Caenorhabditis elegans: one gene and its partners. The protein of the gene in region 1 purifies or fractionates together with the protein of each later gene. This does not show direct contact. Each region holds a gene or a part of one and is shown in the gene's direction. Other genes may lie near its edges.

What was found.
Region 2: the proteins of dnj-19 (region 1) and dnj-11 fractionate together in Caenorhabditis elegans (co-fractionation; one large-scale study listed by BioGRID). This does not show direct contact.
Region 3: the proteins of dnj-19 (region 1) and pold-1 fractionate together in Caenorhabditis elegans (co-fractionation; one large-scale study listed by BioGRID). This does not show direct contact.
Region 4: the proteins of dnj-19 (region 1) and slc-25A26 fractionate together in Caenorhabditis elegans (co-fractionation; one large-scale study listed by BioGRID). This does not show direct contact.

The regions. Positions count from the first base shown.
Region 1 is NC_003283.11:5,500,279-5,507,559, reverse strand, and holds dnj-19 (DNaJ domain (prokaryotic heat shock protein)), read left to right. Parts: upstream 1-2,707; 5' UTR 2,708-2,714; coding exon 2,715-3,515; intron 3,516-3,573; coding exon 3,574-3,665; intron 3,666-3,713; coding exon 3,714-3,951; intron 3,952-4,133; coding exon 4,134-4,322; 3' UTR 4,323-4,527; downstream 4,528-7,281. Other genes in the region: Nuclear hormone receptor family member nhr-47, read right to left, coding at 567-716, 766-944, 1,684-1,801, 1,945-2,042, 2,086-2,107; T05C3.2 (NACHT domain-containing protein), read right to left, coding at 4,550-4,815, 5,230-5,330, 5,739-5,875, 5,928-6,071, 6,622-6,789, 6,842-7,100, 7,150-7,281.
Region 2 is NC_003282.8:6,582,700-6,590,432, forward strand, and holds dnj-11 (DnaJ homolog subfamily C member 2), read left to right. Parts: upstream 1-3,171; coding exon 3,172-3,255; intron 3,256-3,307; coding exon 3,308-3,584; intron 3,585-3,629; coding exon 3,630-4,165; intron 4,166-4,219; coding exon 4,220-4,357; intron 4,358-4,413; coding exon 4,414-4,776; intron 4,777-4,826; coding exon 4,827-5,198; 3' UTR 5,199-5,487; downstream 5,488-7,733. Other genes in the region: F38A5.2 (TraB domain-containing protein), read right to left, coding at 446-446, 975-1,084, 1,133-1,447, 1,493-1,630, 1,675-1,800, 1,856-2,154, 2,210-2,437, 2,509-2,554 and 1 more; lec-11 (Galectin), read right to left, coding at 5,536-5,786, 5,855-5,990, 6,591-6,789, 7,276-7,364, 7,414-7,437.
Region 3 is NC_003283.11:12,037,869-12,047,249, forward strand, and holds pold-1 (DNA polymerase delta catalytic subunit), read left to right. Parts: upstream 1-3,687; 5' UTR 3,688-3,741; coding exon 3,742-3,828; intron 3,829-3,908; coding exon 3,909-4,157; intron 4,158-4,202; coding exon 4,203-4,574; intron 4,575-4,617; coding exon 4,618-4,751; intron 4,752-4,798; coding exon 4,799-5,528; intron 5,529-5,573; coding exon 5,574-6,587; intron 6,588-6,633; coding exon 6,634-7,082; intron 7,083-7,127; coding exon 7,128-7,338; 3' UTR 7,339-7,479; downstream 7,480-9,381. Other genes in the region: Protein kup-1, read right to left, coding at 2,909-2,998; F10C2.5 (alpha-1,2-Mannosidase), read left to right, coding at 7,564-7,996, 8,050-8,244, 8,293-8,885, 8,948-9,262, 9,309-9,381. UniProt on the Caenorhabditis elegans protein: Possesses two enzymatic activities: DNA synthesis (polymerase) and an exonucleolytic activity that degrades single stranded DNA in the 3'- to 5'-direction.
Region 4 is NC_003282.8:8,927,104-8,935,332, forward strand, and holds slc-25A26 (Mitochondrial carrier protein PET8), read left to right. Parts: upstream 1-3,338; 5' UTR 3,339-3,339; coding exon 3,340-3,497; intron 3,498-3,957; coding exon 3,958-4,321; intron 4,322-4,368; coding exon 4,369-4,524; intron 4,525-5,055; coding exon 5,056-5,187; 3' UTR 5,188-5,688; downstream 5,689-8,229. Other genes in the region: cfim-2 (RRM domain-containing protein), read left to right, coding at 353-768, 815-923, 980-1,204, 1,720-1,838, 1,884-1,926; D1046.18 (uncharacterized protein), read left to right, coding at 3,139-3,219; D1046.4 (MFS domain-containing protein), read left to right, coding at 6,894-6,919, 7,504-7,706, 7,799-7,947, 8,073-8,229.

The DNA.
Region 1 (7,281 bases):
GTTGGAAGATGAATATTTTAAATATATTTTAAACATAAAATTGGAATTTTTTTGATTGACGAATTCCAAAAAATTGGGAAAATAATTTTTTGTAAAGTTTTAAAATAAATCGAATTTGGAACTAAAATTAAAAAGTAAATTTTAATAAACTTCGGCGTATTTTTGTACCAAAAAAAGTGAATTTTCCAATTTTGAAAAAATCCCAATCATTCGTTCAGTCTTATTTTTATAATAGTAGATTTCATGAAAATTTTAAAATTTTTAGCTCAAGCTGTTAGACGTGATTTTATACATTTTTCATATTACAAAAATTTAAATACTTATGCAAATTTTTAACAGTATATGACCATTGGGGTTCTGAATTTAATTCATTTATAATAGACCAATATGACCAAATTTTCTGGATTTTTTGAAATTTTCAGTCAAGTTTTGGTAAAATGCCAAAATTTTCAGAAACATTTGAAATTTTTTGGTCGACTTTCAAAATTAAAAGAAACTATTTTAATGCACATAAACAATACCAAACATCTATTGACGCTACTTTATAAATCATTTCTTCAACTCACTTCACAAGAAATAGGTTGCATAAATCGACTTGGAGCATTGAGAGCATCTTCTAACGTTGCATAGGAATGCAAATCGGCGCATCTACTCAAAAGTAGTGTGAAGTTATTTTCCAACGTTGTAAGCCTATCAGCAATTGGATCCAGACAATTCTGAAATTATGCATTGCATTGTTTTTGGAAATTTCTATTTAAAAGTTACCAAATCAATTTTAATATCCTTCATATCCATACTCTCGGGGCTCTCATCATTCATTTGTGGACTTCCTGAAGATCCATCTCTGATATGTTCTGAATGATGAACACCTCCTTCCATATCATTGTCATCATGTCTTCTTTTTCGTTTTGTGTATCCAATTCTATCACGGTCGTTTTGAATTGCTGAATAGATTCAGATTTTAAAAAAAATTAAATTGAAATATAATTGTATATTGTTCTATGAAATTTTGTAACTTCTAGATTGATGAGAAACTGGAAAAATTTCAAAATTGGTTTTCAAAATTTGTAATTTTATCTAGAGCCTCTTAATTAACGGCTCTTAAAAAATTGTTCTCCTTATTTAAACTCAAAAATACGGTGACCCTGGTCTCGACGCGACAGTTTTTTGATCAATGCGAAAAGGTGTGCGCCTTTGAAGAGTACTGTAGTTTGAACTCGCTATTGTGGAATTTTCATTGATTTTGAATAGTTTTTCTCACAAATTTATGTGTTTTTAATATTTTTACCAATTGCAAAATTATATTTTTCATAGAAAATCGGAGAAAAATTGATAAAAATTCATCAGCAAAGTTTAAAGCTACAGTACTCTTTAAAGGCGCATATATTTTTATATTTATCAAACATTTATCGTGCCGAGACCGGCAGAGAGGGAAAATTCGCCAAATTTCGCGTCTGAATAATACTTTTTTATTCTATAATTGATCTAATTGTAAGAAAAATATATATTTCAACAGAAAAGTGTTTTCTAATTTTTTCAATTTAATATTTATTTATACATATTCGGCCGTGGAAAATGGCAGGTGATTTTTTATTTATTTCGGGTTGCTTCTACGGCTTTACTAATCGATGTACCATGTACCCTAGGATCCTTCCATAATCTCAAAGTATACCAAAAACTTACAATTCTTATCCATTCCAACGGCCAAACATTTTTGAAGTCGACAATAACGACACGCGCATCGAACTCCTTTGTTAACTGGACAATCTTTATTCCCTTGACACACGAATTCTCGGTTATTCTAAAAAAAGGGTGATGTTTGATGCTTGTTAAATTGATCTTACAACATTTTGTGATTAGATATCAATTTGAAACATTTTAATTGAGAGAAAAATCAATATTTTCAGATTCATTTCAACTAGGTCTATTCTTATTTAAATTTACCACAAGAGCCCGACGAAAAAAAGTTTTGCATCCATTGCATGAAGCAACGCTGTAATGTTTGCCAGTTGCAATGTCGTCACAGACTGCGCATAGTGTACCTGATAATATTATGTGAAAAATGTCCAAAAACAGAACCCCAACCTGGTGGCAACTTTTCACTCATAATTTTAAAGTTTATGGATTATTTAGAATTTATGAATATTTTAAATATAGCTTGTAATAGTAGCATTGGCTTTTTTATTAGTTAGAATGCAGTATTTATATAGATTGTAGTTGTGTGCGTGCTAAGATTATTGGAGTATTGGTGTTGTCACGTCTTCAGTCTCTCTGCCGTGCGCTCACGAGAATGGGGCAAGCGAAGTTGCGGCTGACGCGTTATTGGATGCTGGCGCGTTTCGCGACCAGCGTTGGTTTTATCGAGAATTTTCTCTGCAGTACAAAGTCCCAAATTCGGTGGTTTTTTATCGATTTGACGCGCGTTTGCTCAATTTCTCGATTTTCCGCGTTTTTTATTCAGTTCTCATTAATTAACGTTCGATGCTTGTTCACAAAATTCAGTTTTTGTTTTCACTTGCTCGTTGGTGTCGTTCGTTGTGTAAGAAAATTGATTTCTAAATATTTTGTTTAAATTGCTAAAAAATAATTCAATAATTTACATTATTGAATTATTAAAAGTTGTATTTTTCAAACATCTCGCGCATTCTCCGTCCGTTTCTCTCAATTTTTCACTGTCATGTCCGCATTTTAATATTCATTTTTTTTCAGGTAATATGTTTGGAGGTGGAAGTAGTGGTCCCGTGGACACCACTTTATACACAACACTCAATGTGAGACCAGACGCTTCGCAGGCCGACATTAAGAAATCTTACTTCAAACTTGCTAAAGAATACCATCCAGATAAAAACCCGGACCATGGAGATAAATTCAAAGAGATCAGTTTTGCCTATGAAGTTCTTTCGAGCCCTGAAAAACGACGCTTGTATGACGCCAGAGGTTTGGAAGGAGTTCAAGGAGGAGGAGCTGGTGGTGGTGGAGGAGGCTTTCCTGGAGGTCTGTTCTCTCACTTCTTCGGCGGTGCTGGCGGTGATGACGATGACGACGATGATGATATGGGTGGTCATCCATTTGGTGGCTTGTTCGGTGGAATGGGTGGAATGGGACGAGGTGGCCCACGTCGGCGGAAATTCCAAGATACTGTTCATCCCCTCAATGTTACACTCGAAGAGCTTTACGTCGGAAAAACATCAAAGCTGAAGCTTTCCAAAAAGGCACTCTGTAAAACTTGCGAAGGGTCAGGTGGAAAGAAGGGAGAAAAATATAAGTGTGATGCATGCCGTGGTCGTGGAGTGAAGACGATCGTTCAGCAAATTGGCCCCGGAATGCTCCAACAAATGCAGGTTCACTGTGATGCTTGTAAGGGTTCTGGAGGCAAAGTTCCAGCAGGTGATAAGTGCAAAGGATGCCATGGAGAAAAGTACGAAAACGTTTCGAAAATATTGGAGGTTCACGTTCTTCCTGGCATGAAACATAACGATAAAATTACATTCAAAGGAGATGGAGACCAATCTGACGTAAGTGCATGTGAAGATAATTGATTTAAAAAAATTTCTAAATAAAAATATCTTTTAGCCAGATGGTGAGCCAGGAGATGTTGTCATTGTTATTCAACAGAAAGATCATGATATTTTCAAGAGAGATGGAGATGATCTTCACATGACCAAGTAATAACTTTTTATCGATTTTTAAAAATTAAGTTTTACTGTTTTCAGGAAACTATCACTGAATGAGGCACTTTGCGGCTATAATTTCCTTATCAAACATCTTGATGGCCATCCTTTGGTTCTTTCTAGTAAACAAGGAGATGTTATCAAGCCAGGAGTCATCAGAGGAGTTCTTGGAAAAGGAATGCCAAATAAGAAATACCCAGAACTCAAAGGAAACTTGTTCGTTGAATTTGAAGTCGAATTTCCAAAGGAGCATTTCCTCGATGATGAAAAAGCTTATGCCGTAAGTATTTTTATTAAAGATTTATTGTTCTTAATGTATTGTTCGAACTGTTTTTTAAGGTTTTGTTTCATTTACTGACTTTATTTCCGTTTTAAAAAAGCAACAAAAATTTATGTTTATAAATTGATTAGAATAGGATTTGTATGTTACGTTTTATTTATCTAAAATTTTCTTTATTCCAGGTTCTGAAAAGCTGCTTCCCTACCTCAAAAGTTGTCAATGTCACCCCAGCTGCCGCAGAAGTTTCTCTTATGGAATATGACGAGAAGAAGTACAGCCGAGGACGTGGCGGAGACGCTTACAATGAAGATTCGGACGAAGAACAACACGGAGGACATCACGGACAAGGCGTCAGATGCCAACACCAATAGTCAAGTTTTATTCCAGTTTATCATTAAAATTGTTACCCTTCCCCCACCACCATCTCCTTCTCATCCCACCCCCACTTGAAAGAATCTCCATTTCACTATCCTTTTTTCTGTGGATATCATCATTCGCAATTGTTTGCAATTCAATTCATTTAGTATAAGAGCTCTGCAAATCAGGACGAACTCAAAATAAAGACAAATTTTTACGAGCAAAATTTTTAAAAAACATTTCACATTATACTGCACACATGTGACTTCTTTGTAACCCCTCCTCCTTTTTTGTTATCCAATAGAGATTTGAAGCGGGTAACCGCGGCGGTGACGGCTCCCAGATTTCTCAAATCAAATGTGTCCAATTCGGCTTCCTCTGGAACATGAATATGCTGAAATTCTGCAAGGTGACGTCGACAAGGGAGAAGGGCGATTTTGTTGAGAGTTTCTTCTTTTACCATCGGATCATTGAGAACAACTGTGAGAAGGGATCCATCTTGTGCACCTGGAAAGTTGAAAATTATTTAATTGCTTTATTATGAAGACGCAGAAAAATGCGCTTTTTGAAATCGAAGTGCAAGCGCGCTCCACCACCAAATTTTTGGGTCTCGTTGAGTATTGGCGGGAGAACAGTATATTCAAACGATTTCTGTTATTATTTTCGTTGTTTTTTGGTTTTAATTATTTTTTATGCCGAAACTAATGTTATAACGTTCTCAATTACATTTTTAAAAAACTTTTCTCTGCTCAACTTGTGTAAAAGAGTAGAAAATGCTATGAAAACCGCCAAAAAATAATTGAAATCGTTTGAATTTACGTGATTTGCCGCCAATACCCAACGAGACCCAACGGCTGGAGGCGGGGCGTTTTTATTTGCCGATGGAGCGCGATTGCGCTCTGATTTTGATTTTCTGTGTACCAATAATAACGAAAAATCCATCTGGATCGTAACTCCAACAGGTTATCGTGGCATGAGGCCGGAAAGTTCCAATTAATTGACAATCGAGGACTCGGAAAACTCTGAAAATTTCCAGCGATTATTGAATAACGAATGGATAATATAGTTGTTTTTATTACGGGAACACGAAATTCTGAAAATGCGTATCGCACAACATATTTGACGCGCAAAATATCTCGTAGCAAAAACTACAGTACTTCTTTAAATGACTACTGTAGCGCTCGTGTCAATTTACGAGAATCATTTATTTATCGATAGAATATTAAAATTAAGCTCAAAAATTGAGAAAATAACGCGAAAATTAGAAGAAAATTGGAACAGAAATTAGTCTCGAAAATGGAGCCAGTAAATCGACACAAGCGCTGCAGTATATATTTTAAGAGTTACTGTAGTTTTTGCTACGAGATAAACTGCGCATCAAATATGTTGTGTAATACGCATTCTCGGAATTTTGTGTTCCCGTATTAAACCTCAATGTTTTATGTCCACTGTGATTGTAGAACACGTATTGAGCATTCGGAGAAAATGAGCAAGTAACATCGTTCACTCCTTCTGTCACATTTCCGATTAGAGTTTTTGCAACTTGACCGCTCCGCATATCGATTACCTTTAAATTTAAAGAAAAACTATAATTTGAGGGTGAACATTGAGAAACGAACAAAAAGACCGCCTTTTGCAGGTGCAAATAATCCCAATTTTCCGTCATTCGACACAACTCCGTTGAATTGAGTGAGGGATCGATGGAATTTTCTGACTCGAATATCCCAGACGCTTGATTTATTGTCACTTTCTACGACTATTATCTGAAAAGTTTTTGGAGTTGGAAAAAGGAAAAAAAAAACGAATTCTCGTAAAGCTTTGACCAGGGAGAATATTTTTCTAGACTTTAAATGTGGTACTTTAAGAGAAAATAGTTTTGTAATATTATGAGGACGCAGAAAATGTTGGTTTACAGGAACCTGTTGTCGATTTACGGAAGCCTACTGTAGATTTACGAAAAATCTATAGTGGATTTTTGGGAACTTGTGTAGAATTACGGTAGCATATTTTTTTTCTGTTTGAGATTGTTTCAAAATTTTTGAATTTCTGCATTTGCCTACAATACCTAACGAGACCCACCGTTTAGGGGCGGAGCGTATTTATTTGGCCGTGGAGCGCGCTCCGATTTTAAAAAGTACACAATTTTCTGCGCCTCGATAGCAACGATTTTTGTTCAAACTTTCAACACCACCTTTTCTGAGAAGAAAGTTATCTCACATAGGCAGAATAAATGTTAATCTTTTTAAAAACGAGTTATGCCTGCAGGCAGCCGTGCCTACCTCGACTTTTATTGCGAATTCATTTTTTCTTTACCTGATTACTGTTGGATGGCATCGCAATAATTTTATTAATCATCACGTCTTTCTGCTTTTTCGACTGCCTCGGCCGAAACTTGATCTTTTGCGTCTTCTCAACTGCATCAAAAACCAAAAGACTATCGTGTCCCTTGAAAAGTGTAATTACCACTCCAGTAATTCCATCCTAAATTAAAACATTTTTGTGCCTAACTCTACTATTATATTTCAAAACTTACCCTCATCACAGCACACTCCTTGAAAAGCCTGCATGGGTATTCAAAACTGTACTGGACACTGAAATCAGTGATACTGTAGATGGTAAGTCTTGCGATTTTCTGCTCCGCCGAGTCTACTTGTCGGTAGATCACACCTATCAATGCCTCCTTATTCATATAGAAAATTTGGAATACATTCGGAGCATGCACAGAATGAATTACAGATTGAGTTCTGAGATCCCAAAGAAGAAGCTGATCAGACTCGATTGCCACAATTGTTCTGGAAATATCTTTGAATATGATTTGTAAAAAATTATAATATGATTTACCTTCCATCAGCTGAGAGCAAGGAATCAGATACTACAGCTCCATGAACATTGGCTACTAACGAAGCAATATATCTATGAGACTTAATATCCCAAATTCCGATGTTCTTTCTAGTCTGTACAGCTGCTAAAGTT
Region 2 (7,733 bases), on another chromosome or scaffold:
GTTTATGGATATTACCACGAATCACGAGAGAATAATATTGAAATGTGTCATTTATACGACCAGCGAGCTGAATATGGGGACTTGTAGAAGGGGATTTTGCAATAGAGAGATGAATAATTTAAATTATTTGTGTATTTTACAAAGAAAACGAGAATAAATCAATCGATAAACGGAAGAAGCGGGTGGGACTAATAAATAAATTGCAATTTGTTTGGGCATTTAACAGAAAAGGATAGTTTAGAAAAAAATGGGAGAAGAAAAATTTTGTTTCAATTCTCAACCTATCTACACCCTAGAAATCGTATCACATTACAAGAAAAAGCGATTAAAAGTCCAATAATTAGACATAAACATTTTAGGAAAGAACAAAATAACGATGAAAACGCCTGTAGATCGAATGTAGACGGCTGCTATGCTGTTGTGCCCGCTTCAATCAATGAGTTGTTCTGAAAAGATATACGAGTTAGTGGGTTGGTTGTCATGGGTAACTTGTGCGGAGCAGGTGATACCAGAAAAGCTAATAACGAGAGAAGACGGGAGAAGCACGAAAATGAGATTAGGTTTGCTATTATTTCATTCTTTGAATGGGGAGTTGGTAATTCGCGTAATTTCTCATCCCTGTGGTACGGTTTTTCCTTCTTTTTTTTTGAATAAAAATATTATGTATCTAATTCAATTCCCATAAGATTGTGAGAATACTTCGTTTTTACAACAAATCTAACATGAAATTTCCTCATAATCGTATGAGAATTGAATTAGGTAACATTTTCATTAGAAAAAATAGTGAAACCAGTAAAATTGAGAACTTATCGAAAAAAAACCACCAAAAAACGGTGGAAAACAATGCCACAGGCTTGCAAAACTACGCGCTGCCTCTCTCTGTGCGACCTTGATTTTGCAAAATTCACGTTTAATTTCATCGTTTAATTTCAACATTCCCAAAACTAAATTTTAAACAAAAATTTCCAACCTACCAACGAGACTCTATGAATGTGCTAACACGATTGAAGATAGCACGTCCTCCACGATAAGCCAAATATCCCAAAGATCCCCAGACAACAATACGGACGCCAGTGGAGAAAACCTGGAAATAAAGAAATGAAAGAATTAAAATAACTTCAGATTAATTTACCTTTGTTCCGAGGCTTGGTGGTGGGATGTTCATAAGTGGATCAAAATCAATATTTGTATTCCATTTGTTAACAATTCCTGGAGTATGTCCGATTCCAACGACAGCAACAACTGTCAACGGTTGAAATTGTTGCCCAGTTGTTCCACGAAGCCATTGTGCACGTTTTTCGACTGAGTTCCGGTGTACGAGCATATGCAAAGCATGCGTCATGTAGGCATCACGCTCTTCCACAAAGATTTGGGATAGTTGTGGGAAATCATCAGCCATCTCGGCGAGAAGTTGCTCCAGAAGGTCACGTTGCTTGCATCGTTCCACCTATAATTTTGGAATATTTTTGGAAAAGGTTGAATAATTAAATACCTCTTCTGCAGTTATCTTCTCACGATGTGAAAATGCAACGTGGAAGAAGAAGCGAATTTTTTGCCAGATGGAGAGAGAAGCCAGTGCACGTTGAAGTGTAACTTGAATAGGACGATCACCGAGAACTACACGACAATTCTGAAATAGTTACTTTGTAAATAAAACTTTTTAAATACTCAAACCTCAGTTGCAACTGCTGCACGATGAGCAGCACGGAATTCTCCTCCGGGAGCCATGGAAAGTTCACGTGTTACATGCGCTGACATTGACAGGAGAAGAACGTGCAGAATTCCTTGAATCGCGCCGTTCTTAAAAAAGTTGAAAATATTACAACATTACAACAACAAAAATATGAGAACTCACTTGTTTCATGGTCTGAATAATTTTTTGAGAGTTGAGATCTTTCGCTTCGCTCAAAAGCCGAGCCTCATCCATCGATATGATTGAAATTCGTGATGGACACAGCTCAAGCATGACAAAATCAGGTTGCACAGCACGAATTGTGTTGGATACGTCTTCCTGCGACTCTTTTGAAAAGTGAGCTGTACCGATGAGATAAATGGTGGAGTCGAGAATCGCTTTCTTCCATTCTTCATCAGAATCGCTCAGCACGGGGTTGCGTGGAGGAATCGCCAGATTTGTAGGCCATTTGAGCACTGTTACTGTAATTATAGAATATAGATATCAGTGTTACATCGAACTGGAGTTTTAAGAAACCTGTATTGGCATTTGGGACGAAGTCATCTGCTCTTTTCCTTCCGAAATGGTACCCTCCACAAACAGGATTGTTCACCACTGCACCATCTTCTGTTGCTTCAGGAGCTTGTTCCAGCTCATAATCCAACTCGGCATCATCTCCAACATGCTCATCAAAATTTGAAGTCGAATCTGCGAGTGATATGATGGACTGCTCGGCTGTCTCACTTGCACCACCAACAACTGAAACTAAAAAAATATTAAATATTTTAAAAATAATTATCTTTCCAAACAACTTCAAGCGATGAAAAAAAACTTACGTCCTTTTTTCGAATTGATTGTCAGAGAACGCATCCGGAATAGATCCTGAACATGGAGATTGTTAATAATTTTTACAAATGTAATATTTCAGCATACCTCTTCAGTCAATTGATCTTCCGATGGTGGTGGCACGTCATTAGGGTCTGGAAACTCAGTTCCATCTGGATTCAAGTTTGACGATGACTCTGACATCTGAAAACCTTATTTTGGATATAACTTGAAATTATAACATGTTTTATTTCATACAATCGCGTACAAAGCGGAGCTTACAAAGCTGAAAAACAATTAAAATGAATCCAAATCACTCCAGGTTTCCATTTTAAGTTACAAGAAAAAAAAACAAAAAAGACCAGCGAAGCGCGTTTGCATTGTGTCTCCGTCTCCATAATTTATGTTGTGACTCGGTTAAAACCGCGCCGCACTCGACATTTTGCAACCATGGCACGATTTCTTCTTTCGTAAATCCCCCGCAATTATTTTCAGTAGTTTTTCAGCTTTATTTCTCAGATTATGTCCCTTTTTCTTCTCTTTCGTTGCTGAAAATCTTTTATGAACAACTGTGGTCACGCGATTTAAAAAGAAAACAGAAATTTCTAGGCTGATTATGTTCTTTTATTTCGTTTTAGGACTAAAGTAGGCTCAAAATAATTTAATAATTATAGATGACTACGGGCAATTTACAAGTTGCAATTTATGGATTCACAGCTCGAAGCAGAGCTTTTGAGCCAGCCGGAATATGCTATGAAGTGAGTTTACTATCACCTATGTCCGCAAATATTTCTTAACTGACATTTTCAGACTCGCCTTATTCGAGATAAACTCACACTGGGCCACTGTACGCTTCCAATCTATAAAAACTCTCCTGTTGCAAAGCCTGTTACGGAACAGCAAAGAAAAAAGTCGTCTGAAGAGCCAGCTGAATTGAGAAAAGATCTTTTTGATGCTGATAATGAAAAATATGAAAAGTACTTGATGAAGCTGGATCCAAATGACTGCAAAAATCAGGATCACTACAAAGTTTTAGGATTGTCGAAGCTCAGATGGCAAGCTACATCTGACGAAATTCGTTTCTGTTGTAAGTTAAAATGAAGTGAGAATTTTTTGAAGAGAATTATTTCAGATCGTCAAAAGGTTTTGAAGCATCACCCGGACAAGAAGAAGCATCGTGGAATTGTTATGGAGAAGGAAGAATACTTTACTTGTATCACAAAAGCTTATGAACAAGTTGGAATGTCTGACGTCAAACGTCAAGCTTTCGATTCGGTCGATCATAAATTCAACGATATTATTCCAAATGAGAAATCAATCAACCATAATAACTTTTATAACGAACTTGCTCCAGTTTTCCAATTAAACTCCAGATGGTCCAATATCAAGCCAGTGCCAGAACTTGGTAAATCAGATGCGACCCGGGAGGATGTCGAGAATTTCTACGATTTTTGGTTTAACTTCCAGTCATGGCGCGAGTTCTCGTATTTGGACGAAGAAGACAAGGAAAGAGGAGAAGATCGGTACGAAAGACGAGAGATGGAGAAACAGAATAAGGCAGAAAGAGAAAGACGGCGGAAAGAAGAGGCGAAGAGAATTAGAAAGTTGGTTGATATAGCTTATGCTAAGGATCCTAGAATTATCAAGTTCAAGAAGGAACAGCAAGCGGTAAGTCTATAAACTTTGCCTAAACTTTGCCGGATTTTCAATTTTAAATTTTAGAAAAAAGATAAAGCAAAGGAAGATAAGCAAAGAGCCATCCGTGAAAAGCAAGAAGCTATCGACCGTGAGAAGCGTGAAAAGGAAGAAGCCGAAGCTAAGCAGAAAGAGGAAGCTGACAGAAAAGCAAAGGAAGAAAGAGTGAGCACAATACACCAGAATATTGTCGATTTTTAAATACTAACTATTATTTTCAGGAGAGAGAAAAGAAAGAGCGTGATATTGCCAAGAAAGCTATGTCTCAGCAGCGTAAGCGTCTGAAGAAACTCGCTGATGAAGCTGGCCACTGGACGGAGAATCCTCGCGATAAGCTCACTGAAATGGAAAGAATTGAGCGGATTTGCATTGGGTTCACTGTTGATCAACTCAGAGAGCTGTGCGAGAAGGTCGAATCACTTTCAATTGCTTCTGAAATTCAAACTGCGCTAACAGATGCTGAAATTCTGAAGAAAGAAGCTGCTGGAGCAAAGGTCACAATCACTGAGGATAAGAACAAAGAAAATGAAAAGCAAGCCGACAAGGAGACATGGACTAGTGAAGAGATTCAATTATTGGTTAAGGTAAGACATAAACGATTGGAAATCATTAATTAATTTTCATATTTTTAAAGGCTTCAAACACATTCCCACCTGGAACCGTGGAGAGATGGGTTCAAATTGCCGATTACATTAACGAGCATCGCAAGGATTCTACGGGTTTACCACCAAAAACTGAAAAACAGGTTATCAAGCAATGCAAAGCTGTTCAAACGATGAACGTCAAGCTACCATCAACTACTCAAAATCAGCTAGGAACTGCGCTACCAGATGAGGATGTCTGGTCAGCAACCGAACAGAAAACTTTAGAGGACGCTATCAAGAAGCATAAGTCAAGTGATCCCGAGCGGTGGGAAAAGATCTCAACAGAAGTTGGCACAAAGTCCAAAAAAGCCTGCATTCGTCGTTTCAAGTATCTCGTTCAAATGGTTAAAAATAAGAAATGATCTTCTAGTCCAAGTAATATCTTCTCTAAATCTTCCTCATCCCTTCATATTATTTCTTGTTTCTCCTCCATAACTCTTGTTTCCGTTCCCATCACATTTTAGCTCGTTATATTGTTTTTTCTTCATTTATTCATTTATTCTTGAAAGCCTTAATCATTCTTGACTCTTGACCAACTCAAATTCAGTAGTACTATGTACTTTTTTTTTTGTTTCTGTCATCAAACTTTTTCTGCAGTGCTCAATATTCATGTCTCAGTTATGAACATTAGATGAACGGTGCGTCCCTATCAATTTGTCATGTTCATTTATTCATTCATTTTCACAATAAGTACAAATTTCAATAGTGATGGTGACGGTGGTGATGATAACCGTCCATGTAGATAACTTCAGGTTGAGTATAGATGATTGGAGTAGCAGTTGGATACACGATTGGTTGAACACTTGGATATATGGGTTGAACCATTGGTTGCATAATTTGCTGAACAACCGGAACAATCTGTGGTTGGGGAACAATCATTGGAGGCGGTGGTTGAGCAACAACGATCGGAGTTGGAGCAACAGGCATTTGCATTACACCGATTTCAGTACCTAGAATTATTAAGATTGGAAATCAAAAAACAAAAAAAAATCCCCAGAATATTAAGATAAAAACCAACCTCCTCCGTTATGATGTTTGAAGTTTTCGAAATGAATTTTTCCAACTCGAAGATCTCCTCGAACAGTCATTGCAACGATTCGTTTTGGGCATTTATGATGATGATAATGTCCGATGTGATGTCCGTCCACGTGGATCTGGAATTAAATTGATTGTTTTTACGAGAATATTGTTTGAATAAAAAAAAACTATCTGTGTTCAATAATCTGATATTCTAAACTCAAATAATTAGAGAAATTAGGTTTTAACATAAAGTCTTTCACACTCGTGGGTACGGTAGCTGAGAAGTTTCAGGACCCGATATCTTGATTTTGGGTTGAAAATTGTTTTTTTACGCAAAAAGGTAATATGTATTCACAATATTTACGAAAAAGAAAATCTACTTAGAACTTCTAAATTTGTTTTATTACGTAGGCATCTACAGTTGCGAATTTCATCATATTTTACGCGCATGGGTCTCGCCACGCTGAAACCGAGTTACTGTAGCTCGTGTCAATTTACGAGCAGCTCGACACGATATACAGTCACTTCGCGTGGCGAGACCCCTGCGTGTAAGATGTGGCGAAATTCTCATTTTTAAACGTCTACTGAATATGGCTCTGATCGACGTTATTACTCGAACATGGATGAGAAGCCGGGAGAGTTTTTGAACGTTTTTGAGACCATCTCGTAAATCCACACGGCCGAGTTTGCCTCAAATGAGACCCTGTGGATTACAGAACAATAGAAGAACCAACCGAATATTTTCTGTGCTCATTATGAATTCTCATACAAAATGGTCGGCCAAACATGATTGTATTCTGATGATGTTCTTCTCGATGCCATCTTCCTCTTTGTAAATGATTAAATACAATCACATTTTGACCATATGAACCCATTCGAACCGATATATGAAGAGCAACTCCATTTTTGGTGGGAAATTCGACTGTGAATCCTCTGTAATATTGAAAAGGTTATCTATTACTCAAGTGCAAAATGTCGTGATTTCTTTTCTTAAAATACGGCTTCAGGTCTCGCCACGACGATATTTTGTTAAATGGAAACGAGTGCCTTTGAAGATTACTGTAACTTCTATTACGAAACCATCAGATCATGAGAATGCCTACCGTTTTGGTGCGGGAATATCTCGTAGCGAAGGCACTCTCTTCACTCTCTCTGCTGTCGCTATTTTCGCGCCAGAAAGTAGGCATTCTCATGAAATGGTGGTTCCTTAATAACCCCTCTCCCGTGATCTCAAACTGTTTTAGTATTAAAGTTTTTCAAAAGGAAAAATACGTTTTTATTCGAAAATGGGTTCAGAAATCATTGAAAATTACCGTACTCTTTAAAGGTGCACACCCGTGAAACTCGAAAAATTTGGAATATGGTAATTAAAACAAATTACCCTGATTCTAAAATAATTAATTTTTGAATTTGACTAACCCCTGTGGACCTTGAAATACTTCTCCATGAATTTCCACAGATGAATGTTCTCTCATTCCCTCATAGATTGGTGTAGTCAATGGAATTGGCTGAAAATAGTTACTTTAGAACAAATAAGCTCATAAACTAATGACTCACTGGATTTTCAATGACGTGAACCATTATTTATTTGATGAAAAGCTGCGAATTAGAAACTCGAAACGAAAACGGAAAGATGGTAGACTTTTATGCCAATTCTTTATCGGTGCAGTTTCGAAAGAAATGTGGAAGTTGAAATGGAATGATAAGAGAAAAAAGAATGACGACGAGTTTTATGTGAATCACACATACGATAAAATACTTCGAATGATGTTTGCTTAAAAAGGTATGGACTGTCATTTCAGGCACACCTTGAACTCTCTAACTAACTGTTTGGTTTAGACGAATTATTGGAGATGGGGAATTGGAACACAATTATA
Region 3 (9,381 bases), 6.5 Mb from region 1:
GAAAGCCAGATGCGTCGGGCTTTGGAGTTGGGAAGCCTGTGGCGCCGGATGTGAGATGCAATGTCGTTCCAGGCGAACAAACACACTGGGCCTTTGCTTTTTTTATTATTGTAGTTGTGAGCCGGATATCACTTTCTATTTTTGGACTTTGTATGCCTCCAAATGTAAAATTATCTAGAATCATAAGGCATATCACAAGGTTTGAGAGGAAATCTAAATTTCTAATCAAATGACGACTATCGAGCAGAACAAAAGCTATGACTAATGAATCAACAGCTCACTAATCATTCTACCTAGGATTGATGTTTATGCCAAAATCAACTGATATGTTGAGATTTTTTGATTATAATTTGAAACTATTCAGAGTCAAACAGCAATTCGTTTCACTTCACTAAATGTGTCAAAGCCTTGTACAAATATGACTATACACAATTACAACAACATCATCATCATCAATATATAATTGGTGTGAGCGTCCACGACGTACCATAGCAGCATTTTGAATGAGCGCGAAATAACCGCCTAGTCTCCGTCACAAATGTACAACACATAGTTGTCCCGTCTTTGTCGTCTTTCCCTTTTTTCTTGTCGCTCCACTTTTCAACATCCTTCCAGCTCTTTTAAATAAAATATTTTGCACACACACACACACACACACACACACACACACACACACACACACACACACATACATACATACATACATACGCCGTGAGCGAAATAGCGGGGACAATAGCGATAGCCAACAGTTGGGACCTATATGCCACCCATTGTTTTGCAACTAAACTAACCTTGACAACTACCAATTAGGCAAAGTATGGGTGTGTTCCGGCACACCTGAAACTTTGCTCACCTACGACCAATCTGACAGCGAGGTTGAGACGAAAGTATCAGGCGGCCGGATGGCACAACCTGTGTTGAGGATGAGAAGTTATTAGAATGGTGGCCTCTAGAAGGAACCTGGACTAGAATAGAAGTCGTTCGTTGGGATGCACGGATGAAACAGAGCGCCATGGGCACAAGAACACGACTGAAGGCGCGCGCGCCGTCGCTCATACACTCACATACACATACACTGAGGGAGAAGGGGAGACACATTCGACGACCGCTCATATTGAGGGTGGAATAGGAGGACGAGGAGCGACGAAGAATGAGCGGGGCAAGAGGACGGATGGAGGAGGCGAGAGGAGGGCGCGCACACAGCCAAAAGGGGCGGGACGACGACTCCTCCCCGCCTCACGTTTCAGCAAGCTCTGGGCTTTAGCTAACAAATGGTGTCAATAGAGTACATTGAATGATCCCATCACAAATAGGCCTTGTTTGGAAGAATCGGAAAACATACTAACAGTACTTATTCCTACATTATATGAATAGTAGAAAAGCTAAAGTGTGGGAAAACATCAAAATTAAGATATTAATTCGCAAGTATATATTCTCGCAAATATCTAGGGAAGCGAATCTTCGTTCAGTTGAGAATTGAGTTTCAAAAGTAAGACAGCGATAGGAATAGCATGACGGTGTCATAAAAAGACAAAGCTGCAATAATTCCATTGAATATTATGATTTGGAAGAAGAAGAAGCATCGGCAAACATTCTTGTAATAAAAATCGCTTGAAATTTATACATTTTCAGTTTCTACAAATCTTTATATTTCTGCAAATCACGGAGGATTTGAAGTCAAATGTTACTGATACTTATTCCGAGCTGATTCGGGATGCGACGAATACCTATAGAGGTCCTGGTGTTCTCTGTGAGATTTCAATATTTCGTGCAACATGAAATAGCAATGATCGACTCAAAATGCCACGTCACGATAATTACATATACAAAGGCCATCTACAATCGTCGGCATTGTCGTAAAACTTTTTGTGTCATCGAGTTGTTAGACAAATATTTCCGCGGCGGTTCGGTTCGGGAGACCACCACCTCCACCACCGCAGACGGTATTGAATTGGAGGGGAGCAACACAAGGACACACGATGAATGGCCTGACGAAGAGGGGCACAATAGGGGCTCTCCTTCTCCGTCGCCGCCGCCGCAGTCGACAGTCTTTCTCTGTTTCTTTCCTGTCTTTTCCATCACTTTCCTCCGGACGTCGTCATCGTTGTCCCGGTCACTACCTTAACCACCAGGCTGTTTGTGTTCAATTACCTGCGGGCGTTTTGTGTATGTTCGCGTCTGTATGTGAGAGATGAGGATGAAAAAGACAGAAAGAGAGAGAGACTAAGAACACGCTGTAATTACACAGCAACCTCATCCTCTGGATAATACTGACCGCCAGTGTGTCGTGTCAACAAGTCGGCTTAAATTATGAAGTAATTAGTCGCTCGTTCGTGGGTTATAGAATGGACTGTCCAGAATGAATTGACACGACATACTTTTTAATAATTCTTTACAGATGAAGGAGAATTCAGTGGCCGATCCTACATTTCTTCCACGTGTTACAAAATGTCATTTTAGAACGCTCACTCTCACAGAAATAAAGCAAATTCACTTTCTAGACAAAGCGAGTCAAACGGCAACTTTCATCTTGAAGTCAGGTCCACACAAGTACAAAACTTCAGCCAAGCTATGGAAGTTTTAAAGTTTAAACCCTGGAATTTCACTAGATTGTAACCAGAACTATACTTTGCAGAGATCACTGGAAGAAAAAGCTTGAACTATTTAAATTTTTATGCGATATTTTCAAAATGAAGAATTGCGTCATTAAACTTGACTCCAGCAAAACGATCAAAAGTTTCCCAATTCAAACAAACAAAACGCTCTCGAAAAAAACGAGCCGATCATCTTGCATCTTCCTCTTTGTAGTCAAATTTGAATTCGCAATTTCTCACTTTGATAATATCGAAATATTTATAAAAATTTCAGACGTAATATTTTAAACAGATTTATCTTGAAAACTACTCACCTTCGGTAGTTGAAGCTCGCTGTCACTCAGATCTTCTCTAACGTCGCCGTGTATTGAGTGATCCGATCCATAATCGAGCTCGTCGTCCATGTCTCTGCTGAAATAAATAAAATTTAGATACATTTAAACTGTTATGCACAATGAAGACAAGGGAGAAAAGTTCAACAATGAATAAATATATTTTTCAATGATCGAAAAGAGTTTGAAGAAGGCGTTCAATATATCTCGCAACAATAACTATTTTAAACGAGTAGAAAATGTTCAAAGGACGGTAAATATGCTTTTCGCGCAATAAAACTCGAGAGCTGAAAGCAAAAAGTCGAGATTGAACAAAATAAGGTAATACAAATTTATCATAGCGCATTAGCTTGATTTTTCGAAAAAAAAAACATATAAAAGAATGCGAGGAAATAGTGGCCAGGTTTTTCTCAGTGAAAAACGCTTCCAAACAAAACCGTAAAATCGATTGGCCCAAAAAACAGATTTCAAACAGCGCGGTAGAAATGTTTTTGCAGTGGAGCGCACATTCGCTACCCAAAATGCGCGGCAAAACAAAGCGAAAAGATTTGGAAATAAAAAAAATTGACTTTCAATTCTTATTTTATTGTTTTATTTATTGATTATCACAATCTAAACGGATTTTCGATGTTATGAAACTTTAAATTCCCACCTAATCGCCTTAATTCTCTCCCTATTAAATCTTTAAACGTTTGTTCAGACAAAAAAACGATTCGCGGCGTTTCGTTTGAGCACGTTTACATTACTATTTTGACAAACAATTTCTTTCTACTTTCATAGTTTATTTATTGTTCTAATGCTGAGTTTTATCAGAAATGACCTCCAAGCGTCCTGGCGGGAGCTCGTTTCAACCAGAAGTGAAGCGAAAGCGTGAAAGTGACGAATTCGAGCAGTGTTACGTTGTAAGTTTTTCATATTATGATTTCAAGCTTTTAAAAATTGCATTTTTTATTTTTAATGATCACTAACCATTTATTTTCAGTCAAGATTCGAAAATGAACTTCCATCTGTACCAACGATTGATAAAACAGGATGGGCCAGGCCAGCAGTCGATAAAGATCTCGGAATTAGCAAAAGCATTGCGTGTCAGATCTTAGAGGTCGAAACGTATCATGAAGACGGCTCTGCAACATCTTACGACAGAACAAATGTGAAGTTGTATGGTGTAACCAAATCTGGAAATTCGATTTGTGTCATTGTGACTGACTACTTTCCACATTTTTATTTCCAGGTAATCTAAGCTTTAAAAAATAAGTATTGGTAATATTTCTTACAGGCACCACAAGGATTCGGTGTCGAGCACATTGGAACTGCACAATCTGCAATTTGCAATATGGTTGCTGCAGCAAAACGCCGAGGTGGTAGCGGTCAAGCTCAATTGCCTGGAAAAGTAGTTGATAATCTTGTTCATGTGGAGATAGTTCACGGAGAGAATCTTTATTACTTCCGCGGTGCTGATACGAAAGTTCCTTTTGTCAAGGTGTCAGGATCTACAGAAGCTCTTCACAAAGCGCGAATGGAATTGAAAAATGGAGTTAACTTGATGGGAAAGGGTCCTGTGAACGTTGGGAATTTATACGAGTCAAATATTAATGTGATTGTCATGTTCTTGGCGAAAACGAATATTGTTGGATGTGGCTGGATTGAGGTTTTGACAATATTAGTTTTTTTTTAATTCTTTATGATTTCAGATTCCTGCTGGAAAGTGCCGAATTCTTTCAAACAGTGAAAAGTCGTCTCGTTGTCAAATAGAAGTCACAGTTCCGGTCAAAAACCTGATTGTTCATGAAAGTGATGGTGAATGGGCTGGAATTGCTCCTATTCGGTAAGTTTGAAAGTTTGAACTTACTTTTGAAAAAATAACTTTTTTAGTACTTTGTCTCTGGATATCGAATGTATTGGTCGACGTGGAGTGTTTCCCGAAGCAATTAAAGATCCTATTATTCAAATAGCTAATCTTGTGAAAATCGAAGGTGAAGCAGAACCATTTGTTCGTAATTGTTTCGTTCTTGGAACATGTGCACCGGTCGTCGGTTCAAATATCATTCAATGTGTGAATGAAAAAGTTCTTCTCGAAAAGTGGGCTGAATTTGTTCGTGAAGTGGATCCCGACATTATCACTGGATATAACATTCTCAATTTTGATCTTCCATACATTCTGGATCGTGCTAAAGTTCTATCACTGCCACAAGTTTCTCATCTTGGTCGTCAGAAAGAAAAAGGCTCAGTTGTAAGAGATGCTGCAATATCATCGAAACAGATGGGAAGTCGAGTGAACAAGAGTATCGATATTCACGGAAGAATTATTTTTGATGTACTTCAAGTTGTACTTCGGGATTACAAACTCCGAAGTTATACACTCAATAGTGTCTCATATCAATTTTTATCCGAACAAAAAGAAGATGTGGAACATAATATTATTCCTGATTTACAACGAGGAGATGAACAAACTAGGAGGCGATTGGCTCAATATTGTTTGAAAGACGCATATCTTCCTCTTCGTCTGCTTGATAAATTAATGTCAATTATTAATTACATCGAAATGGCTAGAGTCACCGGAGTTCCTATGAATTTCTTACTGACAAAAGGTCAACAAATCAAGGTAAATCAAAATATATTTTAAATTATAATACTGAAATTGTTGTAGATTCTATCAATGATGCTACGAAGATGTAAGCAGAACAATTTCTTCTTACCGGTAATTGAAGCCAATTCTGGGGATGGTGAAGGATACGAAGGTGCTACTGTCATTGATCCGATTCGAGGATTTTACAATGAACCAATTGCAACACTTGATTTCGCTTCTCTATATCCATCCATTATGATTGCTCATAATCTCTGTTACACGACACTTTTAAAATCCCCACAAGGAGTTGAGAATGAGGATTATATTCGGACACCATCTGGCCAATATTTTGCAACCAAATCTAAGCGCCGTGGGCTTCTTCCCGAGATTCTCGAGGATATTCTGGCTGCAAGAAAACGAGCGAAGAACGATATGAAAAACGAGAAAGACGAGTTCAAAAGAATGGTTTACAATGGACGACAATTGGCGCTTAAAATCTCTGCAAATTCTGTTTATGGTTTCACTGGTGCAACTGTTGGAAAGTTGCCATGTCTCGAGATTTCTCAATCAGTTACAGCTTTCGGAAGAAAAATGATTGACATGACGAAACTCGAAGTGGAGAGAATTTACAAAAAAGGAGCTCTCGATGGAAAATGTCCAGCAGATGCGAAAGTTATTTATGGCGATACAGATTCTGTAATGGTGAAATTCGGTGTCGAAACTGTAGCTCAAGCAATGGAAATTGGACTCGATGCTGCTAAAGAAGTCAGCAAGATTTTCACTCCGCCGATCAAACTTGAATTCGAGAAAGTTTACTCCCCATATTTACTTATTAACAAAAAGAGATACGCTGGCCTTTACTTCACTAAACCGGATGTTCATGACAAGATGGATTGTAAAGGATTAGAAACTGTTCGCCGTGATAACTGCCCTCTGGTTGCAAAAGTTCTCGGTGTTTGCCTCGAGAAATTACTAATAGAAAGAGATCAACAATCTGCTTTGGATTTTGCGAAACGGACAATTAGTGACTTGCTCTGCAATAAAATTGATATCTCATTGTTGATTATCAGTAAGGAATTAACAAAGTCTGGAGATGTAAGTTCGATTTCAAAACCTTACGAAACTAATTGATTATGTTCAGAAATATCAAGCAAAGCAAGCTCACGTTGAGTTGGCGGCTCGTATGAAGAAAAGAGACGCTGGAAGTGCACCAAGACTTGGAGATAGAGTTCCATATGTTTTTGTCGCTGCTGCAAAAAATGTTCCGGCATACGAACGAGCTGAAGATCCAACTTTTGTACTTCAAAATAACATTCCATTGGACACCAAACACTACTTGACTAATCAACTCGCCAAACCACTTGCCAGAATTTTCGAGCCCATCTTGGGTGATAGAGCAGAAAAGATTCTGGTGGAAGGAGAACATACAAGAGTTCGTACAGTCGTTCAGAGTAAAGTTGGAGGTCTTGCAGCGTTCACAACGAAATCTGCAACTTGTCTTGGTTGCAAGAGTGTTTTACCAAGAGCAGAATCAGAGAACGCAGTTTGCAAACACTGTGAGCCGAAGCTTCCAACGATTTTTGCTTCTAGGTAATTAGAAATGCAATAATTGTTCTACTATATTTTTCATTTCAGAATGAACACTATGCACGAACTTGAAAACCATTTTGGTCGCCTCTGGACCGAATGCCAAAATTGTGCAAAGACTATGCAAGACAAAGTGAATTGCTCGGCTCGAGACTGTCCGATCTACTATATGAGGGAAAAAGTTCGAAACGAGCTATCGGAGGCAAGTGCCGTCATCGAACGATTTGGAGATCCTTGCTTCCAGGCACCTACTAAATGAATTAATTATGATCCCGGTTTATTTGTCTAATTATTATTGACTGTGAATGATCTTACCACACTATTCATCTCATCACACATTTTTCTTTATTACTGGTTATCTTATAAACTCGCGTTGATGATTAAAACATATGTTTTTAATTCTTTAAACTTTTTTGTAAGCGATAATCGCTTAAAATACTTGTCTGATATATTAAATTTGAATTTAAAATACCACAATTTTCAGATGATCACTCGAAAAGCAATATTCTTTTTAGCATTAGCGTCAATTATTCAAGCATCAGATGATTCCGAAGCTCCCGATAATAAAAAGTCTTCAATAAGATTCACTCCATCAGTTATTGATTCTTATAGAGAAAAAGTTCAAAAAATGTTCTACCACGCCTACAACGGATATTTGGATCATGCATTTCCACTAGATGAACTGAAACCAATAACATGCGTTGGACAAGACACCTGGGGATCATTCTCTCTTTCATTAATTGATGCTCTAGATACTCTTCTGGTGATGGGAAATACAACCGAATTCCGAAGAGCAGTGTCACTTGTTCTTGAGAAAGCTCGTGATGATGCTAATGTGAATGTTTCTGTTTTCGAGACGAATATCAGAGTTGTTGGCGGATTAATATCTGCACATATGCTAGCGGGAAGGCATAAAGGTAATTTAAATTTCACAAGGAATATTACTAAACCATCATAAGATTCATTCCAGATCTTGTCGTAGATTGGGAAGGTTATCCATGTGATAGTCCGCTTCTCAAATTAGCTGTTAAAATGGCTGATCGACTTATGCCTGCTTTCAATACAGAAACTGGAATGCCCTATGGAACTGTTAACTTGAAATATGGAGTTCATAAAGATGAAACACCAATTACTTGTACAGCTGGTGTGGGCACATTTCTTATTGGTAATTTTTAAGATTTTAATAATATCCGGCTAACTTCCTTTTTTGAAGAATTTGGTACCCTCTCACGTTTGACTGGCGATGACAAATACGAAAAAGTGGCTCTAAAAGCGTTGGATGCTTTATGGTCGACAAGATCACCAATCGGACTCGTGGGCAATCATATCAATGTTCAAACAGGACAATGGACGGCAACTGATTCTGGAATTGGTGCTGGCGTTGATAGTTATTTCGAGTATTTAGCAAAAGGAGCATATCTATTCAGAAGACCAAGTCTTATGAAACAATTTCATGAACATGCAACATCAATTAATAAACATGTTCGGAAAGGTGAATGGTTTATGTGGGTATCAATGGCCAAAGGATCTGTCTCCTTGCCAATTTTTCAATCTCTTGAAGCATTCTGGCCTGGAACTCTAACAATGGTTGGTGATGTTCAAGATGCATCAAGAATTATGTTAACATATTCTGAAGTTATACGAAAATACGGGTTCCCACCTGAATTTTATAACATTCATAATGAAGAGCCAGGAGAAAAACGAGCCGCATTTCCTTTACGGCCTGAAATGGTTGAATCATTGATGTATCTGTATAGAGCGACAAAGGATGAAACGTGGTTAGAACTTGGAGCTGAAATGATTGATGTTAGTTTTTTATTTTAAACTAAATCTTGAGCTTAATGCGTTTGAAAAAGTTTAAATTTCAGGCAATAGAATCATCAGCCCGAACTAAATGTGGCTATGCTACAATCAACAATGTAAAAGAGCATAGTATTGAAGATAGAATGGAGTCATTTTTCCTTGCTGAAACAACTAAATATCTTTATTTATTGTTCGATCCAACAAACTTCATTCATTCAAAAGGAGATCAAGCTAGAATATTGACGAGTCCAAAGAATTTGACTTGTGTGATCTATGGAGGAGGCTATATATTCAACACTGAAGCTCATCCAGTTGATCCAGGAATGTTGGATTGCTGTAGTGTACAAGCAAAACGGGATCAGGAAGTTGGTGTGAAACAAGTAAGATAGACTATAAATTTAACTTAATTTTAGTTTTTATTTTTAGGTGAACAATGGTGATGAGCATGAGAAAATGAATCGAACAGAAAAGGGCGGTGAAAAGTATTTCGAGAATCAAT
Region 4 (8,229 bases), on another chromosome or scaffold:
AAAGAGAATATAACACTATCGTTGAAATTAGTGCTGTGACTCTCTGCTACTCCACGGCGCACCGATATAAACGTTTTCCACTTGGTACTTGTGGTCGTCGAGGGAAGCGCAGTCGGTTGCGCAGTTGGCTGTCAGTCAGCAGTCCGCGTGATCGATTCCCGCCCGCGCCTAGAAACTCAGCGGTGTTTTGTCTTTATGATCATGAGCTGGTAGCAGGTGCAATATTGATTCGGAGTCTTACCGGCGTCCACCTTCTGAAGGGTGTGCGTTAAAAGTTCATCCGAACAATTTATCACTTTTTAATAAAGTTTTCGAAAAGTTATACTAATTATGAACATTTTTAATTTGGCAGGGTTTCGAAGAAGGATGTGTCAATATGGGAACTATTCGTATTGGAGCTGGAGGGCAAACTGGTCGAACTGGAACAAGTGTCTCTGGTAGATCTGGACCTCCACCTCTCATGATGCAGCAAGTTCGACCAACTCCTTTGATGAGCCAACCTACATCTCTGCCAAGCAATCTAAATCAAGCTCCTCAAATGCGATTACAAATCAACGGACAACAAGTTCCATTAATGAACCGTGCTCCTGTGCCACAACAAACAATGTTAGGAAATGGACCATTAGGTGGAATGAATCAACAAATTCAACAACAACCTCAAATGATGATGGGACAACAAGTTCGACCAATGATGCAAACATCAATGGGAATACAACCAATGATGGGAATGAATGCACCACCTCCAATGAATAATCAATTCCAGAATAGGTAATCGTATAATAATCCTCTATCATTCTTTTTCATTTCCAAATAGTTCTAGACCACCACAACTTGGTTCAATGGGTGTTCAGCCACTTATGCAAATGAATACAGCTATGCGTCCTCCTATCAACGGTCTTCCACCAGTCCATGTCAATCCACAGGTAATGGTTTTTTGAAAACTAAAAATAATTTTGAATGATAATTTTATTATTTTCAGATGTTCCCCGGACTTCAAGGAACAGTTTTATCTGACGCTGAGTTCGAAGATGTAATGACAAGAAATCAAACTGTATCATCGTCAGCTATAGCTCGAGCAATAACTGATGCATCTGTTGGAGATATTAAAGGAGCATCTGAGACTATATTGACAGCAATTCAATTGATTAAAAACAGTCGAATTGGACATGATGAAAGATGCAGACAATTGGTTTATGGATTGGAAGTACGTTTAAAAAAAATCCTTCTTGAGCAAAACTCTAATTTCCATTGAAGTTTAAATGATAGAAAATGGACCTTAATGACCGTTAAAAAATGTTCGATTTTTTATGATTTTTCGATAAAAAACTCGATAAAAAATTTTTCATCGTTTGTCAATTTATTAGTTATGTCTCTGTAAGAAAAACTTAATTGATAAGAAATAAATTTACTGAAACAAAACTTTTTTGCTAACATATCAGTGATTTAAAATTTAATTTATAAATCTAAAAAAAACGGTGTTTCAAATCAAATATCAAAGAAAAAATCAAGAAAAACCGATGAATCTAAACATTTATGCAAATTTGAAAAAAAAAACCATCAAAAATTCAGAAATTTAATTAAGTTTTTAAACAGTTATCTCAATATGGTCATTATGGCTTTTTTCTTTCATTTGATACAAAATTTCACAACGACCATACTCCACCTTTACAGAAATACAAAGTAAATCGCAATTTTTTTTCATAATTATATATTTTCCAGCACACACTCAAAGGCCTTGAATCAAAAGGATATTCGTCTCGTTCAAAATCACATCGTGATCGTTCAAGAAGTCGCGAAAGAGATCGCAAAAGAAGAAGACGCAGTCGCACTCGCTCACGGTTCGTTTTGGAGCAACAATTTTTTTTGAAAAAATATTTTTTTAGCTCATACTCGCGGTCACCATCTCCACGCCGTCGTCGTTATTAAATAACACGACTTTCTTCAAATTCAAGATTATTTCTATTTTACTCTTCAATTTTCACTTTTTCAACAATTTGGTAATGCCGATGCTTGCTTTTGCACAAAACAATTTTCAATTTTTCAGATCCAAAAATGTTATATAATCTCTAAATTTCATTCTCAATGTTCACTGGTCGATTTCGATTTATTCTCACTTGCATACGGGATCTGCTCACTTGTACTCTAAAATTGTAAGTTTTTGACTTTTTAATTGATTTTCAGATTTGTTCTTTCAATTACCTTTCATTGTTCTATTTAAAATCGTTTTGAATGTAACTCCTCAAGTATTGGGTCATTTCGAAATTTCAGTTGTATCGGGAGTATTTCGAAAAAAGTATGCTATGAAATTTGTAACATTTTGCTAGTATTTATTGAGAGCACATTAAAATTGTAATATTTTCATTTAAAATAAGCTTGGGTTTGGGTAAGCATTGATTCTATAATGTGAAATTGATATTTTTTTTGATTGAAATAGATTTTTAATGGTGTTAGTTGTTTTTATCATTTAAGCTTCCTATGTGTTTAATTCTATATTTTGTCCTTTAAATGTAGTTTTGTTTATTCACTTACGTCTTGAAATTTGATAGGTTTCAGCTGAAATGATAATTTGAAAATTATTTGTTAATCCTTTTTGTCAAAAAATTTAAAAGTTTTAGGCATTAATTGTAATGTCAGTGATAATGTGAAGAAATAAGCATAGCTGATATTTTCTATTGTATTTTTTTATCTCATTTCAATTGTATTTTCCAACAGGTCCAGCAGCATCCACGTGGCATCGAGTTCAAATCGGAATCGTCAAAAAAAATCCCCGCAAAATCCTCTCAACAGAAATTTTTTCTTGATCTGAAATTCACATTTTGTTTTCTAAAATTTCCAAACATTTTAAATGATTAATTGTAATTCGAGCACATTCGATGAAAATTCATTGAATTTGTTGACAATTGTGTTGTGAATCCCGTTTCAATTCTTCAATAAGAATTTAATTGGTAAGCCAATATTTTTTATTGTATTTATTCACTTATCCAAAATCCCTGGTCTCATTTTCGTGAGTGCTTCCTTTTATTTTTCCTGATCCTCGCATTTACATGGTTGAAATCATTGCTTTCAGAATGTGTTTCAAGCAAAATAAAAAAAACTTATGTTCATATTTCAGAATACTGGCTATCTTCCAACTCAACAATGATTCGTGTACACATTTTCTCATCAGTGCTCACTATTGGATTATCTTTTATAAACGTTGTCTTTAAAAGTTTTGTTTAATTTAATAAATTGCAAATAAGAAATGTGTTTTCATTGCTTCCTTTCCCATGAAGTCGAATTTGTCGACTGATGTAGTACCTCTAGAATGAATTGGATATTTTAAATATGGAGTAATTTAGGATGCCATCAGAAGAAGGATCGGTGGTACGATGGCTCGTGTGTGGGGCGACAGCTGGTTTAGCAGTTGATATTGGATTATATCCATTGGATACAATTAAATCAAGAATGCAATCTAAACAAGGATTCATTGCAGCTGGAGGTTTTAAAGATATTTATAGGTGAATACTTGGAAAAAATGGATATAATTAGTTGGTTTTCGGACATTTGAGAGCTTAACCCAAAATTAAATTCAAAAATTCAGATAAATGAGGACGCAGAAAATAAACTTTCGAAATGGAAACAAAACGCTCCGCCCCCGAACCTAGGGTCTCGTTAGGTATTTGGCGGCAAATCTGTAAATCCAAACGTTTTAAAGTAGTTTTGCCAATTTCACCAATTTTCAAGTAATTTTCTTTTTTTAATCAATTTTGGCATAAACCTCATTAAACATATCTGGAAACATAACCAAAAAGCTTTTAAAAGTCAAAAATCGGTGAAACTCATCGAAAACGTTTGATTCACGGTTTTGCCGCCGAATACCTAACGAGACCCATAGCTCGTGGCCGGAGCGCCGATTTCAAAAGCGGCATTTTTCTGAGTTTTCTGCATAATAGCTGTAGATTAGATTCTCTATTTCAGGGGAATGATCTCAGTATTAGTTGGCTCAGCACCCGGAGCTGCCATTTTCTTCCTCACTTACAAATACATTAATGGACAAATGAAACAAGTAATTGAAGAAAGAAATGCTCTTGTGGATGCTGTTTCTGCAAGTTTGGCTGAAATTGCAGCATGTGCTGTAAGAGTACCAACAGAGCTTTGTAAGCAAAGAGGACAAGTTAATAAAAATGAACGACTGACGTTAATATGCAAAGAAATAATGGAAACTAAAGGAATACGTGGATTCTATCGAGGATACGGTAGCACTGTGGCTCGAGAAATTCCTTTTTCAATTATCCAGTTTCCTATTTGGGAAGCTTTGAAGAGGGCAGTGGCAAATAAAAAAGTTAGTTTTTTTTAAATATCTTAATCTACAATCACAAAATATTTCAGGAATCAGGTCGTTGTAGTCCATTGGAAGGAGCTGCTTGTGGAAGTGTAGCTGGATTTATTGCAGCTGGTTTAACGACACCATTAGACGTGGCAAAGACACGTATCATGCTCACAAAAAACGGTCCAGCTCCTGGTATTTTGAGCACATTAAAAGAGGTGAGTCTGAAGAATAAAACAGTTGAAAGAATCAAATTTATTGCCAATTTCAGTTGTGTACATATTAAGTTGCCTATATTAATTTGCCGATTTGCCAATTTTGGCGGAAAAACGACATTTACCGAAGATTTTCGGCAAATTGTGGTTTGTACATTCTTTTTGGAAATTTCAGAATTTCAATTTTAATCGGCAAAATTGTACGCATCCTATGAATGTTCTTAAATCTATTTTGAAAAATAAGAAAATTCTACGAAAATATCTAGAAAAAACGGAACATTTTTTAAAAAGGCAGGCAAATTGATGTTTGGCAAACGGCAAATCGGCAATTTGCCGATAATCAAAAATTCCGGCAAATCGGCAAACCAGCAATTTGCCGAACGGCAATGGCCGCCCACTCCTGACTCACAGTTTTCCATAACTACCATATAAAAGTTTTGGCGAAAAAGCGGCAAAGCTTATCTATCACCTTAATAAATCGCTTTAAGAATTGAACTAATTATCCTCTATCCAACCATTTCTTTTTAATTTCAGGTGTACACATCAAATGGAGTACGTGGGCTTTATTCTGGAGTCGTACCTCGTGTAATGTGGATTTCAGGCGGTGGTTTTGTTTTCTTCGGTGCCTATGAAACAGCAATGCATTTTACCAAATTTTTAGATTAGTCATCATTTATATTGTTGGTTTAGTTCTAGATCCTCTCTAGTTGTTTCTATTTTATTTTTTCCCTGTTACTCTAGGATTGCCCTGTCTGTTCTTTTTATCAATCAATTTTCATCAGTCCATCTGGATTGAGTCACATTCTCATTTTTCCTCCCAATACTTTCTGAACACATACCACATCACTCAAATTGTTCTTTTTCCTCCATTTTTCTTCCGACTTTTGATTGTTTTCCCTTCATATCTTTTGATAAAATCCATTTTTGCAGAAAACTGATTTTCGGTTTCTGCACAAAAATAGTTTCAGAATATTGAAAACGACTAGTCTATTCATATAGATGTTCTCTTTTTTTCAGATTATATAGGACCAGTTTTTGGATTGATGACTTTGTCCCCCTTCTTTTACTGTTCTCGTGTATCTACATAAATTTTTAGCGCATTGTTTCTGTTTTTATTTTGTTTTCTTTATTAAAATTTATATTTTTAAAATGAAAGCTAAAGCAATTTTTAGTTGTTGGCACAAGTCTACACAATTTAAAAACTCACAAAATAGTGCTGAATTTTATAATCCAAAGAATATCGAAAATTTCTGAAAAGTTTATTGTAAAAAACTTTTGTAATCTTGAAACATGGATTTGGCAGATTTTAAGTCATTAGACATAATTCTGGCATAATATATGCTGTACATGTTCCGCATTTAGATCTGTTACTACGTTGAATGAGATTACTTCTGAGATTACTACTTCAAGCTTCTGAGAAGCCACTATGAGCATTTCAGAAGTAATCTCATTAATCTTATGAGAAGTATACTATAGTGAGAAACTATAGCGATGATTACAGATAGTGAAAACCGGCAAATACTGTTTATTGTTTCTGGAATTTTTACAAGAGAACAAGAGATTATATCGTGTTTTTTTATATCTAGCCAAATGTTCATAATAAGTTCTGATCATTTCGTCGTATTGAATAAATTTCTAGAAAATAAAAAAAAACGATATGAAAATGTATTAAAAAAAAAACTCTTTTTCATATCTAGAATATAAAATGGGATAACGTAGTAAAAATACGTCCGTAGCAAAATAGTACAACGTAGTAAATTATCTATGTGGGCTTATCGTTCATTAAGATGTTCAGGAATAATGAAAAATAATTTCATCGTGAGTCCTGGTGTGAACTCTACTTCTCTTATTTCAATTAAGCTCAAATAGGGAAAACATTCACGTTTTCTTCAGCCGTAGGTTCTTGTGGCAAGAGGTAGGCGTAGGTTGCCTTGAAGGCGAGGTGAGTTTGTGCCTGCATAGAAATTTACTGGAAAATCTAAACTATGATTAATTTTTATCACTGATCACGAGTTATCAACTATAAAGTAGTTCAAATATTAAAAACAAGCAGAATAGAGAAACAGAAGGGTGAGTTTCAGGATGATTCATCTGCAACCATTCTCTTCAATTTTTCACATTCTCTCACTTCAAAACGGAATTGTACACAAATTTACATGTTTTACGCATTCTTCTTCTCCAACCCTTTTTTCTGTCCGCTTCGATCGAAAAACCGAAAAATAGGTGACACGGTCTATTCAAATAATACCCGAAACACCATCACCCCTTCCATTTCAATAGGCTGCTCTTTCCGTATTCGAAATTTCGAAAGCTTTTCCTGTTCAGGTTGTTGGCAAAATCGATGATTTTTGGAAGACGAACAGCCGAACGAGATGATTACGGCGGATAATCTTAAAACGTGAGTTTTCAGAAGAAAGTTATAAAATAGAAAACCAACGATGAACACTTTTGAATTCAGATTTTTAAGTCATTAAATCTTCAGAGTTTCTGAGTTTCTAAGAATTTTTTGCAACCGCAGCGAAGTCTTGAAAATTTGAAACCAACACTTATCAATTTTTTAGCTTAAGTTTTCATGTATCGTTTCAAATTTATGTAAAAACTTTGACATCCATTGTAACAGGAGCGAAAGGGTGGCAATATCGTAGTTGGAAATCTTTAGCAAGAAAAAACCTTCAGCAAGATTTCGACACTGCAAAAGCTTTTTGGTCGAGACGAAGGGAAAAGTATATATCGAAATTGTTTTCCTAGAATAATTATTTCAATCATTGCAAAATATTTGTAAACCCTCATAATTCTGCTTTACTGGTCAGCTGGTTTTTTTTTAACTAGATGTGAATCACGATTGTTTCAGAACCAACGAAAGTTCAATAAAATACGTTGGGCTCTTTTTTATTGAACAAGCATTATCATATAAAAGTATGCTTTATATTATACATACTTCAAGAAATAAATTTTTAAACTTTAATTTTAATAAATTTTCAGCCCAATCTTCTCTGCAACTCGTTGCACCAATGATCATCTTCCCGCCTATAAATCATTTCTTCATCGTACTCGTTTCCTTCTACTTCTCCTTGTTATTCTTCTAAATGCTACTGTCTACAGTAACACAATTCTAATCAATTTCTCAGTGATTTGTATGTCAGAAGAGAAGATTAGCACGATGTTCAATGGATCTCATAATGATTGTAAGTTGAGACATGAATCTAAATTGTTTTGGAAAGTAGTGTCACTTGGCATTATAAAATAAAAATAAAGTTTAAAAACTATTCAACTTTAGATGAAGTTCTCCGTGAAGCAATTGCAACAAGTATGAACGATTTCCGATCAATATGGTTCACATTTAGTTCAATTAAACAGAGTATTATGTTTATGATGTCACCATTGGGATCTTTACTTGCAATGTATCCTACTTGGATGTTAATTATGGTACGTCTCTTTTCTGATCATTTAAATAAACATTAATCTAGTATGTTATCATATGTAAACGCATTCTCAACATTTTTAATCGATTTTCTGAAATGAATGCTATCCGTTTGTAATGAAATTTTCAGAAATTCGGTTACCGTCGCATCTGTTCAACTACTTGCCTCATTTCAACATTCCTCACTGCTTTCCTCCCATGGTCTATATTTTTCGGGTTCCCATATGTTGCCACGTGTCAATTCCTGCTCGGTGCCACTGCTCCATCGGCTCTTCTACTTGTGCCAA